Linked DNA regions of Arabidopsis thaliana. The protein of the gene in region 4 interacts with the protein of the main gene of each other region in a pairwise test. Each region holds a gene or a part of one and is shown on either strand. Other genes may lie near its edges.

Evidence for each region.
Region 1: the proteins of MYB2 (region 4) and CRF8 interact in a two-hybrid assay, tested with the Arabidopsis thaliana proteins (one large-scale study listed by BioGRID).
Region 2: the proteins of MYB2 (region 4) and AT1G76590 interact in a two-hybrid assay, tested with the Arabidopsis thaliana proteins (one large-scale study listed by BioGRID).
Region 3: the proteins of MYB2 (region 4) and AT4G31660 interact in a two-hybrid assay, tested with the Arabidopsis thaliana proteins (one large-scale study listed by BioGRID).

The regions. Positions count from the first base shown.
Region 1 is NC_003070.9:26,820,517-26,824,191, forward strand, and holds CRF8 (Integrase-type DNA-binding superfamily protein), read left to right. Parts: upstream 1-2,000; 5' UTR 2,001-2,360; coding exon 2,361-2,846; 3' UTR 2,847-3,155; downstream 3,156-3,675. Other genes in the region: AT1G71110 (uncharacterized protein), read left to right, coding at 1-336; GLIP6 (GDSL-motif lipase/hydrolase 6), read right to left, coding at 556-791, 879-1,344, 1,419-1,558, 1,658-1,904.
Region 2 is NC_003070.9:28,738,824-28,742,734, forward strand, and holds AT1G76590 (PLATZ transcription factor family protein), read left to right. Parts: upstream 1-1,716; 5' UTR 1,717-2,051; coding exon 2,052-2,054; intron 2,055-2,148; coding exon 2,149-2,358; intron 2,359-2,444; coding exon 2,445-2,660; intron 2,661-2,762; coding exon 2,763-3,071; 3' UTR 3,072-3,408; downstream 3,409-3,911.
Region 3 is NC_003075.7:15,332,052-15,336,164, forward strand, and holds AT4G31660 (AP2/B3-like transcriptional factor family protein), read left to right. Parts: upstream 1-1,961; 5' UTR 1,962-1,967; coding exon 1,968-2,045; intron 2,046-2,129; coding exon 2,130-2,409; intron 2,410-2,491; coding exon 2,492-2,563; intron 2,564-2,649; coding exon 2,650-2,774; intron 2,775-2,854; coding exon 2,855-3,055; 3' UTR 3,056-3,255; intron 3,256-3,368; 3' UTR 3,369-3,579; downstream 3,580-4,113. Other genes in the region: AT4G31650 (Transcriptional factor B3 family protein), read left to right, coding at 1-301, 388-512, 593-922, 1,007-1,270; UBP18 (ubiquitin-specific protease 18), read right to left, coding at 3,956-4,113.
Region 4 is NC_003071.7:19,374,356-19,378,102, forward strand, and holds MYB2 (myb domain protein 2), read left to right. Parts: upstream 1-1,629; 5' UTR 1,630-1,928; coding exon 1,929-2,085; intron 2,086-2,176; coding exon 2,177-2,306; intron 2,307-2,407; coding exon 2,408-2,942; 3' UTR 2,943-3,188; downstream 3,189-3,747. Other genes in the region: AT2G47200 (uncharacterized protein), read right to left, coding at 3,529-3,747.

The DNA.
Region 1 (3,675 bases), on a different chromosome or scaffold from region 4:
GTAGCAGCTGTGAATGAGAGCTACGCTCTAGAGCATTACACGCCTCCATTGCTTAGCTTCCGAGATTGCAACTTTGTTAGGGAAACATTTATGAGTATTACCTCAGATTACTGTCCACCGTTAGTACGTAATCTGAGGATTGTGAACGCAGGACTCGGACTGATCTCCGTAGGAGTCTTACTATGTCTGGTGCTATGGATATTCTATGCGAACCGCCCCCAAAGGGAGGAAGTGTTTGCGGATCCACACCCTCAAAGAAAAGATGATAGCTTTGGTAACGGCTTGGATACTCATCACTCAGATGACGAACCTAAGCTTTCTGTAGAATGCGTATAGTATAGAGGTATAGTTAGATAGAATCAGATATTGTATTTCATAATGATATGAAAGAGAACAATAAAAACATTTTGTAGCGTTCATGTTACAGTAGAAGAGGAAGAAGAGACCAGAAGTGGAGCGAAGTTTCACTTTCTGGCTTTTGTTTTCACAATGATTTCGAGTCTTAATTCAGATACAAACTCATTATGAATTCTATATACAAGGGAGATATAAGTATTAAAATGTGATCTTGTTGGTGGCAAGAGCCATGAGATTAAATGGTCTGATATGGTTTTTGTTTCCATTCCATAAAGCTTTTGACATGAGACGGTAAGTGTGTTCTGTGGGATGATAAAAATCCCAAAACAGAAACTCATTTGGGTTATTGCAAATCTTGTATCCTTCTCTTCCACACTGCATCAATCCTCCCAGTGTACCGTTCCCACAACACGCGTTTGAAACATCCGAAAACCCTTCACCAAAAACATGATTCAGCTTTCTCATAGACACATTTGAAAAAGATCTCAAAGATGGAAGTTAATTAACTATATTGAGTTTACCGTAACGGGCAGGGTAGGTTTGAAATCTGTGAGTGATACCATATACAGCTCCAAACACCGCAATGGCTCCAGGGTACTTAGTGGGGATTATGTTCACTATATCTTCAAGTCTTTTATTATACATCTTGGCCATAACATTCATCTTACCAAAGCATTTATTGGTTGGGGCATTAGGAAGCATGGCTCTTGCAGGGACACAACCTACAGGACCTAAGGAGAAGAAAGCGATGCGGCGTGCGCCTAGTTTGTAGATCTGATCAATCGTTTTGTTCACTTGGTCTAACATTGCGTTCACATAAGCGTCTGGAGAAAGTGTAGGAGCTCGGAATGGGAGGAAGTAGTTGAAGATGTCGTTAGAACCAGTTTCTAATAAGAAGAGAGACTCTTGGATTATAGATTTTTCGATAAGGTTTTGCTCTACAAGTGTCTGGAATTGCTGTAGCTGGGTTTGGATCGGTGTCACGCCCTACATTTGATATGTGTACTTAATGAGTGATTCACAAGAAACAAACATTTTATTTGGTCAAGGTAGATATTTACCATAAATTTGTTGGTATCAAGCAAGAGACCACTACCAGCACTAGCAAAGTTAATGCCATTTGAAAAGTTTGAAGTTCCATTCAAGATTTGAATCTGCAATTCCAAGAATGGTTTCTGTAATGGAAGGCCTACAAATTCCGCTGCAATTATTGCGTCAAGAAAAGAAAAAAGAGACAAAAGTAAGGTTCCTTGCAGAAGAAGAAATGTTTTAGTTAACGAGTTGGGAGGTAATTTGTTACAGATGAAGTCAGCGACGGTTCTTCCGTTGGTGAACCTCCCAGTAGGACGGTGGAAAAAGGAAGAACCATAAGGAGGAAAATCAGCCTGAGCGGTACAGTTTTTGTTGTAATGGTTGTTTCCGGCGTCAAAAATAGAGTCACCGAAGGTAAAGATAGCAGGGACGGTGGAAGAAGACTTGGCCAGAACAACCGGAGAGATTAGAAGAAGCAGACACATGAGTAAGTCCATTGAAGAAGAAGAAGACATGGGACAAATGAGTTTATAATCATATAAAAGGAGATTATATACTGACACACATATATATATATATATATATATATATATATATATACAAAATTGACACGGAAGGCAAGAACATTGTTCATGTTTTTGCACTTACTCTTATGTGTGATTAAAGTTTCAAACTTATTCCTAAATTTCTGCTTCTTATTACATAGATGAAGGAAAAAAGAGTAAAGCGTTTTTTCCTTTAGAAGATGGGCTTCAAGCCATGTTGAGAAATTTCATGGATTTTACTGCATTTTCAGCTCTGAGGCCCATACGGCCCACATAGGATTGGTTAGAAAAAAATAGAGAAGTAAATAAGTAAAGATGAAAAGCATCAGAAAAAGAGATTCTGAAAGAATAAAAACATATTCTTTCTCTCAAATGCTTTCCTTTTAATGGAGACGAAGACGGAACCCTAATTTCCGCAAATTCACTATGAAGCGTATTATCAGAATCTCATTCACCGACGCAGAAGCCACCGATTCTTCTAGCGACGAAGACACGGAGGAGCGTGGAGGAGCATCCCAGACTCGGCGCCGTGGGAAACGCCTCGTTAAAGAGATCGTAATCGATCCTTCCGATTCCGCCGATAAACTCGATGTCTGCAAAACACGGTTCAAAATCAGGATCCCGGCGGAATTTCTCAAGACGGCGAAAACGGAGAAGAAATATCGTGGAGTGAGGCAGAGGCCGTGGGGGAAGTGGGTGGCGGAGATCAGATGTGGAAGAGGAGCTTGTAAAGGACGACGTGATCGTCTCTGGCTGGGTACTTTTAACACTGCTGAGGAAGCTGCTCTAGCTTATGATAACGCTTCAATTAAGCTGATTGGACCTCACGCGCCGACCAATTTTGGTTTGCCGGCGGAGAATCAAGAGGATAAGACGGTGATTGGAGCTTCTGAGGTTGCTAGAGGCGCGTGAAGTGGGGTTGGTAATTTAGTTGTTAGCATTAGCAAGAAGGTCTCTCTCGTATTTTGTAAATTCATCTTCTGATGTTGTGTATGATCTTGATGTCTTTCGTCTATGTATATATATGAAACTCGAGAAATGAACTATATTTTGATTTACACACAAATTTTAAGGTACAAATTTTTTTGAATTTTTAAAACGTTTAGGAAAGAAAAGTTTGGGTTGAAATAGGCTCTTTTTATTTGTATACTATTCAATCTTTTTACCATTTATGGATCAACACATAATAGAACAGAACTCTAACCAAATTGAACGTTAATGACTTGGATCAGAGTTATATTTTGATGGTTGATGAAAAGTTGAAAATTCTTTATATATCTTTCCATCTTTTGGTTCTTGTATCACCGTATCAACGATACATTTTTATACTTTGGGGTGTCTAATGAAAAATACTGAATTTATCAATTTACTTTGACTTGTTGAAGACTGATGGCCATGGGTGAGGGGTTTGGAGATAAAGAAAGTAATAAAGAACATGAAGAGATCAGCTAAACCAAGAGACTTCATCATACACATGATATATATGATCTTCTATAATACTATAATAGTAATGACTAAAGAGGAAATGAATGTTTTCGATAATAGTAGTGACTAAAGAGGAAATGAATGTTTTGACAAGAAAAAAAAGAAAAAGAGAGGAAATGAATGTTTACATGTACGTGCACATGAGTTTAAAAATAATAAGTTTGAGGAAACACAAGTGCGTTAGAAAAAAAGCAAACAGATATTTTCTTTTGACTTACGATTATGAAATTGAAAAAAAAAAGGATCTGAAGATAAA
Region 2 (3,911 bases), on a different chromosome or scaffold from region 4:
AGAGTTGTGAACGTAGTTGAACATTGTTGTAAAATTGTAATGTAATACCTTTTTGGTTAATCCTACGTAAAAGTAGTATTAGCCACTACTTGCTAAACATTTTAAAGGGACATCTTAAAAAGTGAAGATGATTCTTCACAAATAAACCACAACGGTCACGTGAGTCTCGTGCTATTGACTACTATTGTTGAGGTCGGTCAACAGTGCATTGCCCCATCTTTACCTTCTTCTTCCCACATTTGTTTGGGATATTTTTCAATTTACTCACTTTATGAATACAAACAAAACAATAAAACTAATCTCTTTTGTGTGTAGTTGAAAGAGATAAGATCGCAGAAAAGAAGACGATGATTCGTCGACTTTTCTCCCAACATTTTGAACAATTAGTTGTTATGTGTAATTTTCTATAGATAGCTACTATCTGATTACGTGGATCACACTTCTCTTTTTATTATTATCTCTTTAGGTTTCTTATCCCATATAATATGATATCAGGTCTCTTTCTCGAGTAATACATTATATATCTATGTTGATTATTTACTACTTGTCATTTAAGATAAGATACTTAAAAATACTTGTTATTGGATTTTGCCGGAAGACTTAACTTTCAAACTCTATTATATGTAGAAGATAGCGGACTGAAAAATACGTCGAAGACAGATACTTCTATTGCATAATTTTTGGGTAGGGACTAGAAAACTTACTCGTAGTTTCGACATATCATCCGCAATCTCAAATTAATTGCAAACTTTTTGATCATATCTATTGAAACTATCTTTCTAGCTTCATTAATTCGTTACCAGCCCCCAATATAAGCTATCAAGTATGAATATTAAGATGGATTTAACGGTGATAATAGTAGTATGTACAGTTTCTTTTGTCAACAGCTGATAAAAAAAATGAAAGCTTCTAACAGTTTGAGCCTAAAGAGATCATATATGTGAACAGTTTCACACACACATAAGCCGTACAACTAATATAGATATCACTTTGACCGTAAAAATCTAACAGTTTAGATCACACACACACAATCTTGAAACTAGTTTAAAGCACTTTCAGCGAAAAGTACTCACTAGATGATAAGAACTCTTTGGCACGTAACAGACGCTTTCGAACCCTACGATTTCAAGAGGTGGCTTATGTACGGTCCACTCAACTTCTTCATCCGACGGTCTAAGATTGGTCATGTGGGTTGAACTACCAAAAGGGCCAAAAGCGTGAGCCACGTTACATTATAAAAGATTTTGTCTTTTTAATCCAACGGTTCACACCAGAATCTCCAATTCGGTTCTGTCTCCTCTCGTGTCGGTCCATCTCTCTGGCTCTTCACCTCTAGCCACGTGTTTCTAATTTTGACCTTTTAAAATTTTAAGAAAAAAACAAATTATTTCTTGTAGCTAAAATTTAGCATCCAAATTCCAAACTCAGAGTTCTCTTCTATGGCCGTATGATACTTCCAATAATCCGTATGTATGTGAATATCATAATCTATCACAAACATAATGAATAGTAGTAGATATTAAGACAATCAAATTTGGTAGAAAAAATATCTTCCTACGTTGGGAATTATGTAGGACCGAATAATATAGTCGGCTAATTCGATATTTTGTCGCGAACCACGACATAAAATTATTTATCATCATTTGTGAACAATAATGATTCAAAATTATCAATAACACCACCTTTTTTTTTTAAGTTCCTTTACTTCTGGGGTCTCTAGAGACCCACACATGTGCACAAAATATACGTGTGTCTCTCATAGACTTTAAAGCAAAATTAGAGAACACTTATTTTTAGCCAAAAAAAGTAATTAAAGAAAAAACTATATAAAAACAGTTTAAAAAGGGGATGATATTAAATGATTTTCATGTGAATTATAAAACGTATTGAGTATTATCGTGACCGACTTCAAAAAACAAGAAAAACCTCAACTTCTCTTTTTCAGCTATAGCCGCCGCCTCCTCCCACTAAACTCAAATCCTCTCATAGTCTTTTCAATCAAATCTGCTCTTCTTCACTGTTGAAGCTGGCTATCAAAACTCACAATAACTATGGTGATTGATTGATTCTCTTTCTTACTTAACTCTGTTTTAGTTTCTTTGCAAATTCTTATATTAACCATTTGGAACTGGTCTAAACATTCTTCAGGGACCGATGATGATGAGAGCAGAAGAAGATAACTACAATCTAAATCCTCCACCATGGCTAATCCCAATGCTAAGAGCAAACTACTTCATCCCTTGTTCAATCCACGCCGCTTCCAACAAAAGCGAGTGCAACATGTTCTGTCTTGACTGTTCTTCTGAGGCCTTTTGCTCTTACTGTTTGCTCAATCACAGAAACCATCGTGTCCTCCAGGTTCTTTCATCAACTTCAAATCATTTTTTTCTCTCTTACCAATTCACCCAACAGAGTTAAGAAAATGGGATTTTCATTACTTGCAGATACGGAGATCATCGTACCACAACGTTGTGAGAGTAAACGAGATTCAGAAGTACATAGACATATCTTGTGTTCAGACATATATAATCAACAGCGCAAGGATCGTTTTCTTGAACGAACGTCCTCAGCCAAGAATCGGCAAAGGAGTCACCAATACTTGTGAAATCTGTTGCAGAAGCCTTCTCGATTCTTTCCGTTTCTGCTCTCTCGGTTGCAAAGTAACTCTTCTTTCCTCTGTTTTCCTCTGTTTTGAATGAATATCTGAATTTGCTCTGTATAGTTGAAATGACCATATTGCCCTTTTGTTTGGTTTATTTCAGCTTGGAGGAATGAAGCGTGATCCAAGTCTAACCTTCTCTTTGAGAGGGAAGCATGGAAGAGAGTACGAAGGTGAGTGGGAATCTGATGAAGCGACTACACCAACTAAGATACGCAAGACATGTGCTTTCAACCGTCTGATGAGTGGTCTTTCCATCTCCACCGTTAAATGTGATTACTTGTCAGGAGATCAACCGTCTTCGAGCTCCGGTGATGAGAGCGGTTTTAAACTTTCTCCGGGGACACCGCCGATATATAATCACCGGAATTCAAGTAGACGGAAGGGCGTCCCACACCGTGCTCCTTTCTAAAATTAATACTAACGGAAGCTAATTATATAGTGTAGATTATAGAAAATGTGGTTGTTATGTTGTAACTAAATGGTTAGTAGTTTTTAACCTTTTGAGCTAGGAATATACATATTGTAAGACATATTACTTACAGGTATTGTTTGGTTTTTCTTTTTATAGTACATATAGAAATTAGGTATATACTGTACTCAAAGGGATTGAAATATGTTTTCATATAGTTTTTTTGCTGTAAATATACGTTTGAAGGAGGTATGTTTCTTCAACTTGTTTGTATCGTATACTGTGTACTATCTTCACAATAAAATAGCAAATATGATAACTAGGATTTTTAACTGAAGCGCTAATATTCGAAGAACTAAATTGTCAATGAGAATGATACAGACGAATAACGAGATTTAAAATAAGAAACTGTCGATCAAGACATGTATTAGTATTGTCAGAACACAAAAACATTGGTGATAAGCTGGGGCAAAAAACATTCTGGGTCTATCTATTTCAAGGAAAGGAGCTTCGACTCAAAAGAAGCTTATGTCATTAGAACTTAGAAGTCGATTGTTAACAACAGTTCAAATACTTCGTTTCCCTAAATTGGTTATCAAGTAGTTTCAACTTTAAACTCGTGCTATTAGAATTTTTTTTTTATTTTCGAACGATATAACGTGGTTCTTCGAAACAATACTTCGCTAAATCCTAATAACTTTCGGCATTTGAAATGCTCATGATGTCATGCATCTACCTTTTTTCCGTGGTTGCCTCACCTTTTAATGGTGTTTTGATGTTAAATTTTTTTATGTATAAGTTGTATTTTAGTTTTTTTTTTTTTTTTTGACTGACTTTTGG
Region 3 (4,113 bases), on a different chromosome or scaffold from region 4:
GGAGATTCTTGTACATTTAAACTGCTTCACAACGCCAAAATGCCCGTGTTTCGGCTCTGCAGCAAGCTCCCAAAGGCTGGAGCAGAGGCTCGGCCACTCAAGAGAGCTCGAGTCCAAAGATGGAGCCAAGAGAGTAGATCGAAGCATGACGTGAGGGAGAAGATAGCTGAAGAAGGAGAACCTTCTCGTCGCAATCGCACATCTAACAAGTCTACTGGTGATCAAGGAAAGTTGCAGCAAACGCAATCTTGCTTTATCTTTGATCATGTGGCTAAGGTGAACCAGAGCGTTGATAACATGGGTAAAAGGCAATGTATAAATGAGTCTTGTTGATTTTCAAGAACATCTACAAGGTCTAGCTAACTTGTCCAACTTTTGTGAAAACAGGAAAGCTTCTGAGAAAGAAACATGTGAACAAGAGGATTCCTGAAACAGAAGCAAAGTCTTTTTCATTATACAAGTCTTGTTTCGTTGCATATGTAACAGATTGGAACCTACGAGAGGATACACTGGTTGGTACTTCAGATCTACTGTTGATTCCTTTTGAGAGCCGTGAAGGTTGATTACTCATGTTTAAAATTTTACTTTGCAGTCTCTTCCAAGGAATTTTGTTAGGTCCGATGGTCTGATTAAAGGAAGTAACAAGATTGTTCTAATGAATGAAGGAGCAAGGACATGGACGCTTATTCTGAAGTTTAGGGATTCACGTAGATCGTTTTACAGTAGGGGTGGCTGGAGAAGTTTCTGCCGTGAGAATGGGCTTAAACCTGGAGATTCTGTCACGTTTAAACTGGAGAGTAGCAACACAAAAACGCCTCTACTCCTTTTCTCCATTGCAGAATCAAAGAGTGCTTCCACAAAAGATAGGACCCGATTTCTGACACTAACTGTCACACCATCCAGTATCCGCAGTTCCAGACTTGTAAGTTTTGTTCCCTTGTTTTTGGTATTGATGCTTTGTGAAGTGCACAGAGTATATAAGCTAATTGTCTCCCTTTCTTTGCAGTATCTTTCGAAGAAGTTTATTAGTGTTAACAAGATGGAAAGGGCAGGAGGGAAGAAGATAACTCTATTGGACAAGAATGGAGAAGAGTGGCCAGTGACCTTACTGATGGATAAAAGATATACAAGGATGGTTTTGGGTTCAGGGTTGAGAGAATTCTGCAATGCTATTGGCGTTAAGGCATATGAATCTGTGGTGTTGGAGTTGGTTTGGGAAGAGACAACAACTCTTCCTATGTTCAAATTCTGCTCCAAGATCAAGACTTGACTCTAATTTGCACCCAAGTTATTATAAGTAAGAATGGTCTGTTTTAGTGAGCTCACAACCTATGCAGTATGAATCCAGTGTAGTCTTTCTATTTATGTCAACAACATTTACTCTAATAAGGGTCTTGAAAACAAGTAATAACAATATATAAGTTCTATCTATTATCACTATTCTGTAATATCATCTGCGTAAGTTAGAGCTTAGAAGCTTTCTGCATAACAATTGATCAAAACGCTAATTACTCTAACTGGCCATTTCGGTTGGTTCTTGATTATTCTGATGCACAAACCTGTTATGATGTTTACATTTCTCTTAAAACTAACTTACACTATATAGATAACTATACTCTGCCTCAGCTAATGCAAAAGCCACAAAACTAGATTATATCTCCAAATAGAAAATAAAGAAAAAGGAGCAATGCCACCAAATCAGTAAACGAGATGTTAGCACCAATCTTTTTTTGGTAATGAATTTTCCTTCACCAAAAGAACAAAAAGTAGTGACTCATTTAATGAAAAGAGAATAAAAGGAGTGTTCATTAATGAAACAGGTAGCTGGAGCTCTCATTAATAAGAGGAACCATGCGAGGATTACCAAAAGAGTAAAAGACACTCATAAACTTAGACTGAATCATTTTTTTGTTTTGTTTTCTAGGGCTTTCTTTTCTTGGAAACGCTTTATCTAAATCTTTTGAACAATGGCGGATCCAGTTCTTCAATCTCCGAAAAACTCACATTTCTTCCAGCCACTTCTTCCCGGCTTCGACTCTTACCTTGTACTACTCTCTTATACGAGTAAATACAGCTTATGTTGAGAGAGATGGTTTCGTTTTAATAATCTCTTTTGCATGTTGTTGCAGAACATTCCTGTGAAGTTTTTCTCAAAACGCATACAAGGAAGAAACGAAGGAAGGACAGTGGAGCTAAGAACCGACGCGTCTGAAAAAACTTGGCAAGTTAAGATCCAAGGTCGGAGACTAACAGTGGGCTGGAAAGAGTTCGCCAGCGCGCATGATTTCCGAGTTGGGGATATTATCGTTTTCAGACACGAAGGATCTTTGGTATTTCATGTCACTGCATTGGGACCCAGTTGCTGTGAGATTCAATATGTACCGTCTTGCAATAATCAGGAGAACATTAGTAAGTTGTCTTCTGTTTTTACCTTCCCAGGAAATTCACATTTTGTTTTGAAGATTCTAACTTTTTTCTTCTTGTGATGCAGGTAACTTGTCGATGAAGCAGAGCATAAAAACAGAACTAGAGTCTTCACTCGACGAAGACAAAGTTAACATGGGTAAGTCAATGTACAAATAACTCTTGATTTGTTGGCGTTTTAACACCATCTACATGGTCTAACTTTTCCAACTTTTATAAAAATAGGAAAGTTTCCAAGAAAAAAACATGTGAAGAAGAGGATTCCTGAAGCAGAAGCCAAGTCTTTTTCATCAGACAAGTCCTGTTTCGTTGCACATGTAACAGATTCTAACTTACGAGAGGATACACTGGTTGGTACTTCAGATCTATTGTTGATTCCTTTGGAGAGATATGGAAGTTGTTACTCATGTTTAAATTTTTTACTTTGCAGTTTCTTCCAAGGAAGTTTGATAGGTCCGATGGTCTGATTAAAGGAAGTAACAAGATTGTTCTGATGAATGAAGAAGCAAGGACATGGACGCTTATTCTGAAGTTTAGGAATTCAAGTAGAACGTTTTACATGAGGGGTGGCTGGACAAGTTTCTCCATGAGCATGGGCTTAAACCTGGAGATTCCGTCACGTTTAAACTAGAGAGGAATAACACCAAAACGCCTCTTCTTCGTTTCTCCACTGCAGAATTAAAGAGTGTTTCCACTAAAGATTTCAACAAAATAAAGAGAAAGGAATCTGGTGACAGTAGCCAAAAAGTTCCATCATCGTCATCTTCAGTAAGTGAATACCGATTTTTGACACTAACCGTCACACCAGCCGCTCTCAAAGATGGTAGACTTGTAAGTTAAAACAACTCTCTAGGAGGAGTTTTGTTCCCTTGGTTTTGGTTATCATCAATGCTTTATGAAAGTTCACTTAGTTAGTGTAAGCTTATATTCTCCTTTGTTTGCAGCGTGTTCCAATCAAATTCATTAAGGGTAACCGAATGGAAAACCTAGGAATGAAGAAGATAACTCTGTTGGACAAGCATGGAGTAGAGTGGCCAGTGAATTTAGTCATGTACAAGGGAAATACACAGACGCGATTCGGTTCAGGGTTGAAAGAGTTTTTCAAGGCTAATGGCATCGAGGCATGCAAATCTTTTGTGTTGGAGTTGGTTTGAGAAGACAAAACAACTCTTCCTATGCTCAAGTTCTGCTCCAAGGCCAAGAATTGACTCTAATTTGCATCCAACTTGTTCACAAGTATAATCTTTTATATTGAATTCATCACCTATGTGGTATGAATCTAATGTAGTTATGAACTTTTTAGGTAAGAGTCAATGCGTCTATTTAAGTCAACAAAATATTTACCTACTTATGGGTCTAAATGAGTCTGTCACATGAATGGCAAACAATATGGCAATTCACGAACATTTAAATTCTACGTATAATCACCCTTTATTACCATAGAAGTCATTGTGTAATAGTATCTACATCACTATTGTAACTTTGTAAGCTAAAAAGCTCTGCTGATTTTCAAATGTTGTAACATACCACATCACTGAGCGTCGATCATCTTGGTGTCCATATCTCTCACCGGAGGTTTGGATTTTGTACAGACCAATGGAGTTGAAGTTGTAGGGTCTGACCAAGAATCGGCAGCCTGATATTTTACCTCTGGATCTTTGTTCCCATTTGCTACATCCTCTTGATGAT
Region 4 (3,747 bases):
AAAAAAAAAAAAAAAAAAAAAAAAACTAGCTTATTTGGGTTGTCGTCTATATCACATATCTAATCGATGTAACAATTCACTGAATCGGGTGTTACAAATAACATTTGTTTTCTTCACTAAAAGTATAAGATACTGGTACAACGCGAAATCTAACCTATATTCGAATCAAATGACACGTCATCACTTGGGTGTCTATTTGTCCACAGTTGAAAGTTATAAGAAGCAGACAAGTGTCTCATAAAGACATCGAGATCTGATTCGGTTCTCAGGTACATACAGTTAATCGGGAGTGTTGCTTTCCCCTAGAACTATGGAGGCTACTATTTAAGTGTCGTTGTGTAACAAAAATCCTGTGTTTACTTGCATTACTTAAACTCCTTTACTTTAATAGTTTTATATATGTTTTCGACCTCCCTTTTTCGACGGAGTGGATCGCTATGACATGTAGGCATCTGATTGTATTTGCTAATCTGTTTTTGTTAGTATGTTAAATTTTTAACCCAATATATGTTTATAGTGCTTATATATTCTTACTTTAGTTACATATGAATATATGATCATTGATGAATTAAACAATATAATGTAATAATTAAATTTGATTTCCCTGATCGAATTATAATTTATATGTTTTGTAATACGAATCAATTAAAATATTTTCTTGTTACACATTTTGATAAAATGTCGTAGAACGTTACTTAAAAGTAATGATGCATTAACAAAATGTACAACATATATTATAAAAGTTATCATCAATATTATAGGCATTCGACTTTCAGAATGTGTATCAATAATCGAAGTAGTAATGGAACGATTATTGAAAGTATACTACGGTCTCTCTTTACTTCATCGTGGATTCTCATTAAAAACAAAAGTACTTTCTCTACCGGCAACTATTGAAAGTATATTATTGTTTTTAATAACTTTGATAGTGTTTCTTAATTATTAATCCCAACGTACGATAAAATTTTGTTTGATAAAACTCACAAAAGTTTAGTATATTTCTGTAAATATATGCATAGAAGTCATAGTGATTGACAGAGGAAAGACGTCTCTTTGACTACTCTTCAATCGAAAACAAAATGTGCTAAAATTTCAAAAGCAAAGTCCCTAAACTCGCCTAACTCCATTTCTCATTTGACTTTGCCTTAAATGTCAATAGTCCTATGTTATTTAGCTACATTCAAAATTGGGAATTAAGAATTATTTTAGACTCCATATACTTAGAAACGAATCCGTATTGGAAACTAATTTCCATTTAGTAATAGTATTTAAGTATTATTATGCTTACCGAGTAGCATGTAGTAGTTTCTTAATGTTAGCTAATTTCAAAGCAAACGACGAATATTAAATCGTGATTGCACACAACAAGAAGTGATTAATAAATCATTAATTTCGCCCATAGTAATCACTAACCAGAGTAATTTTGAACAAGACTAAGGATGTACAATAACTTACGTCTGCGATACTGTGTGGTAATAAATATAGAAACTTTATGAAATAGAACTCTCTTACCAAAGAAAGAAAAAGCAAGAGTGCGTGTTACTATACATCTGAACAAGTCAAAGGGTCAAACCTTAGTATTTTAAAATTACACAAACAATTGACCAAATGGAGAGCTAATTATGTTTAGCATAATTTACTATATAGTTGCAAAATTCCACTTTAGAAACAGAATAAAAAAATAAAAATTGAACATAACACTTATGCCGTGTTCCAGTCACTCTTCAACATTCTACTCATTTTCAAATATCCTTTTTATAAAATACTACTTTTAAAATTATTTGATTCTTATGTTCCTTCACTATATATATATAAATATCGCACATTGCTTAATCACTTCAAATCTAATCCACAAAACCATTCACACCATCTCATCTTCTTTCTCTCTATCTCTTTTCCTTTCCTCATTTAAAGTTTCTTTATAAGAAATGGAAGATTACGAGCGAATAAACTCAAACTCTCCAACACATGAAGAAGATTCTGATGTACGGAAAGGTCCATGGACCGAGGAAGAAGATGCAATCCTAGTCAACTTCGTCTCTATCCATGGCGATGCTCGTTGGAACCACATCGCTCGTTCCTCTGGTATCATCAAAACATCAATCTCTAAATATACATATACACAAAGGCTTTATATATAGATAAACTTATATATATTTTACTCATATATGTGCAGGGCTAAAGCGAACTGGTAAGAGTTGTAGATTAAGATGGCTTAATTACTTACGTCCAGATGTTAGAAGAGGCAACATCACTCTCGAAGAACAATTTATGATCCTCAAACTCCATTCTCTTTGGGGCAATAGGTACACACTATATATCTCAAATGTTAATATTTTGCTATTCTATATGTTACTAGTTAAGTATGTTATTAATATATGTCTTTTTTTTCAATTGAATATATAAGGTGGTCGAAGATTGCGCAATATCTACCGGGAAGAACAGATAATGAAATAAAGAATTATTGGAGAACTCGAGTCCAAAAGCAAGCCAAACACCTAAGATGCGATGTTAACAGTAATCTTTTCAAGGAGACTATGAGAAATGTTTGGATGCCGAGATTAGTGGAACGAATCAACGCCCAATCATTACCCACCACGTGTGAACAAGTGGAGTCAATGATCACCGACCCAAGTCAACCAGTTAACGAACCGAGTCCGGTCGAGCCGGGTTTCGTTCAATTCAGCCAGAATCATCATCAGCAATTCGTACCGGCTACGGAATTGTCAGCAACGTCTTCGAATTCTCCGGCTGAGACGTTTTCGGACGTTCGAGGTGGGGTGGTGAACGGGTCAGGTTATGATCCGTCGGGTCAAACGGGTTTCGGAGAGTTCAACGATTGGGGCTGTGTTGGTGGGGACAACATGTGGACTGACGAGGAGAGTTTTTGGTTCTTGCAGGACCAGTTCTGCCCCGATACGACATCGTATTCGTATAATTAAGGAAATATACGATTACTATACGTAACGAGGAATTCAATTGCGTCACGTTTGGTGTAATATTCATTCGTGCGTGATGCCAATTTTAGATACGGCCTTGGTATACGAATCTTGACTTAATTATTATCTTTTCTTTTCCTCTCTTGTTTTAATCCCCTGATTAAATTAAGATTTGATCATCAGACGAGGATATTTGTGATTCACTGATTTGTGATATTGATATATGTGAATTATTTGATATAACGTTTTAAAAACCAACAAAAAAAAAAAATCATTCCAAGGAAAAGTTCTTAATTTTGATACTCGAAAAGAGCGTAGACTGACTCGAATCAGTTCATATTTTCTTTGGTTCGTTTTATTTACGACAAAATTCACTAACAAAAATTAAAAAACGACAAAACGAAAATATGACTAAATTTATTTTTTTGACAGTTAACCACTGATTATTGGTTCAAATTGTCACAACACATGATTTATCTTGATAGAAATTTAGTAGTCCAGAATGCTGCATGGTTGATCCTAAGAAAAACAAATCATGCAAGGACCAAGGACTTACATTACTTAATTATACTTAAACGCTTTATAAAATTCACATCAAGTGATTCCTGACGATGATCCAGTAAAACCCTTCATCCATATCGTTGCTTCCACACGTAGTTTCGATAATAAACTCGTGATTATCGCCAAGATGCGATGTATCAACCACTGAAATTCTCTTCCTTGTCACGTTTTCGTCTCCGACGATATTTCTGTAAAGTTTCGCAGCAGACGAAGAAGAATCCGATGTCTCCGGCTCGTCTTTAGGCGT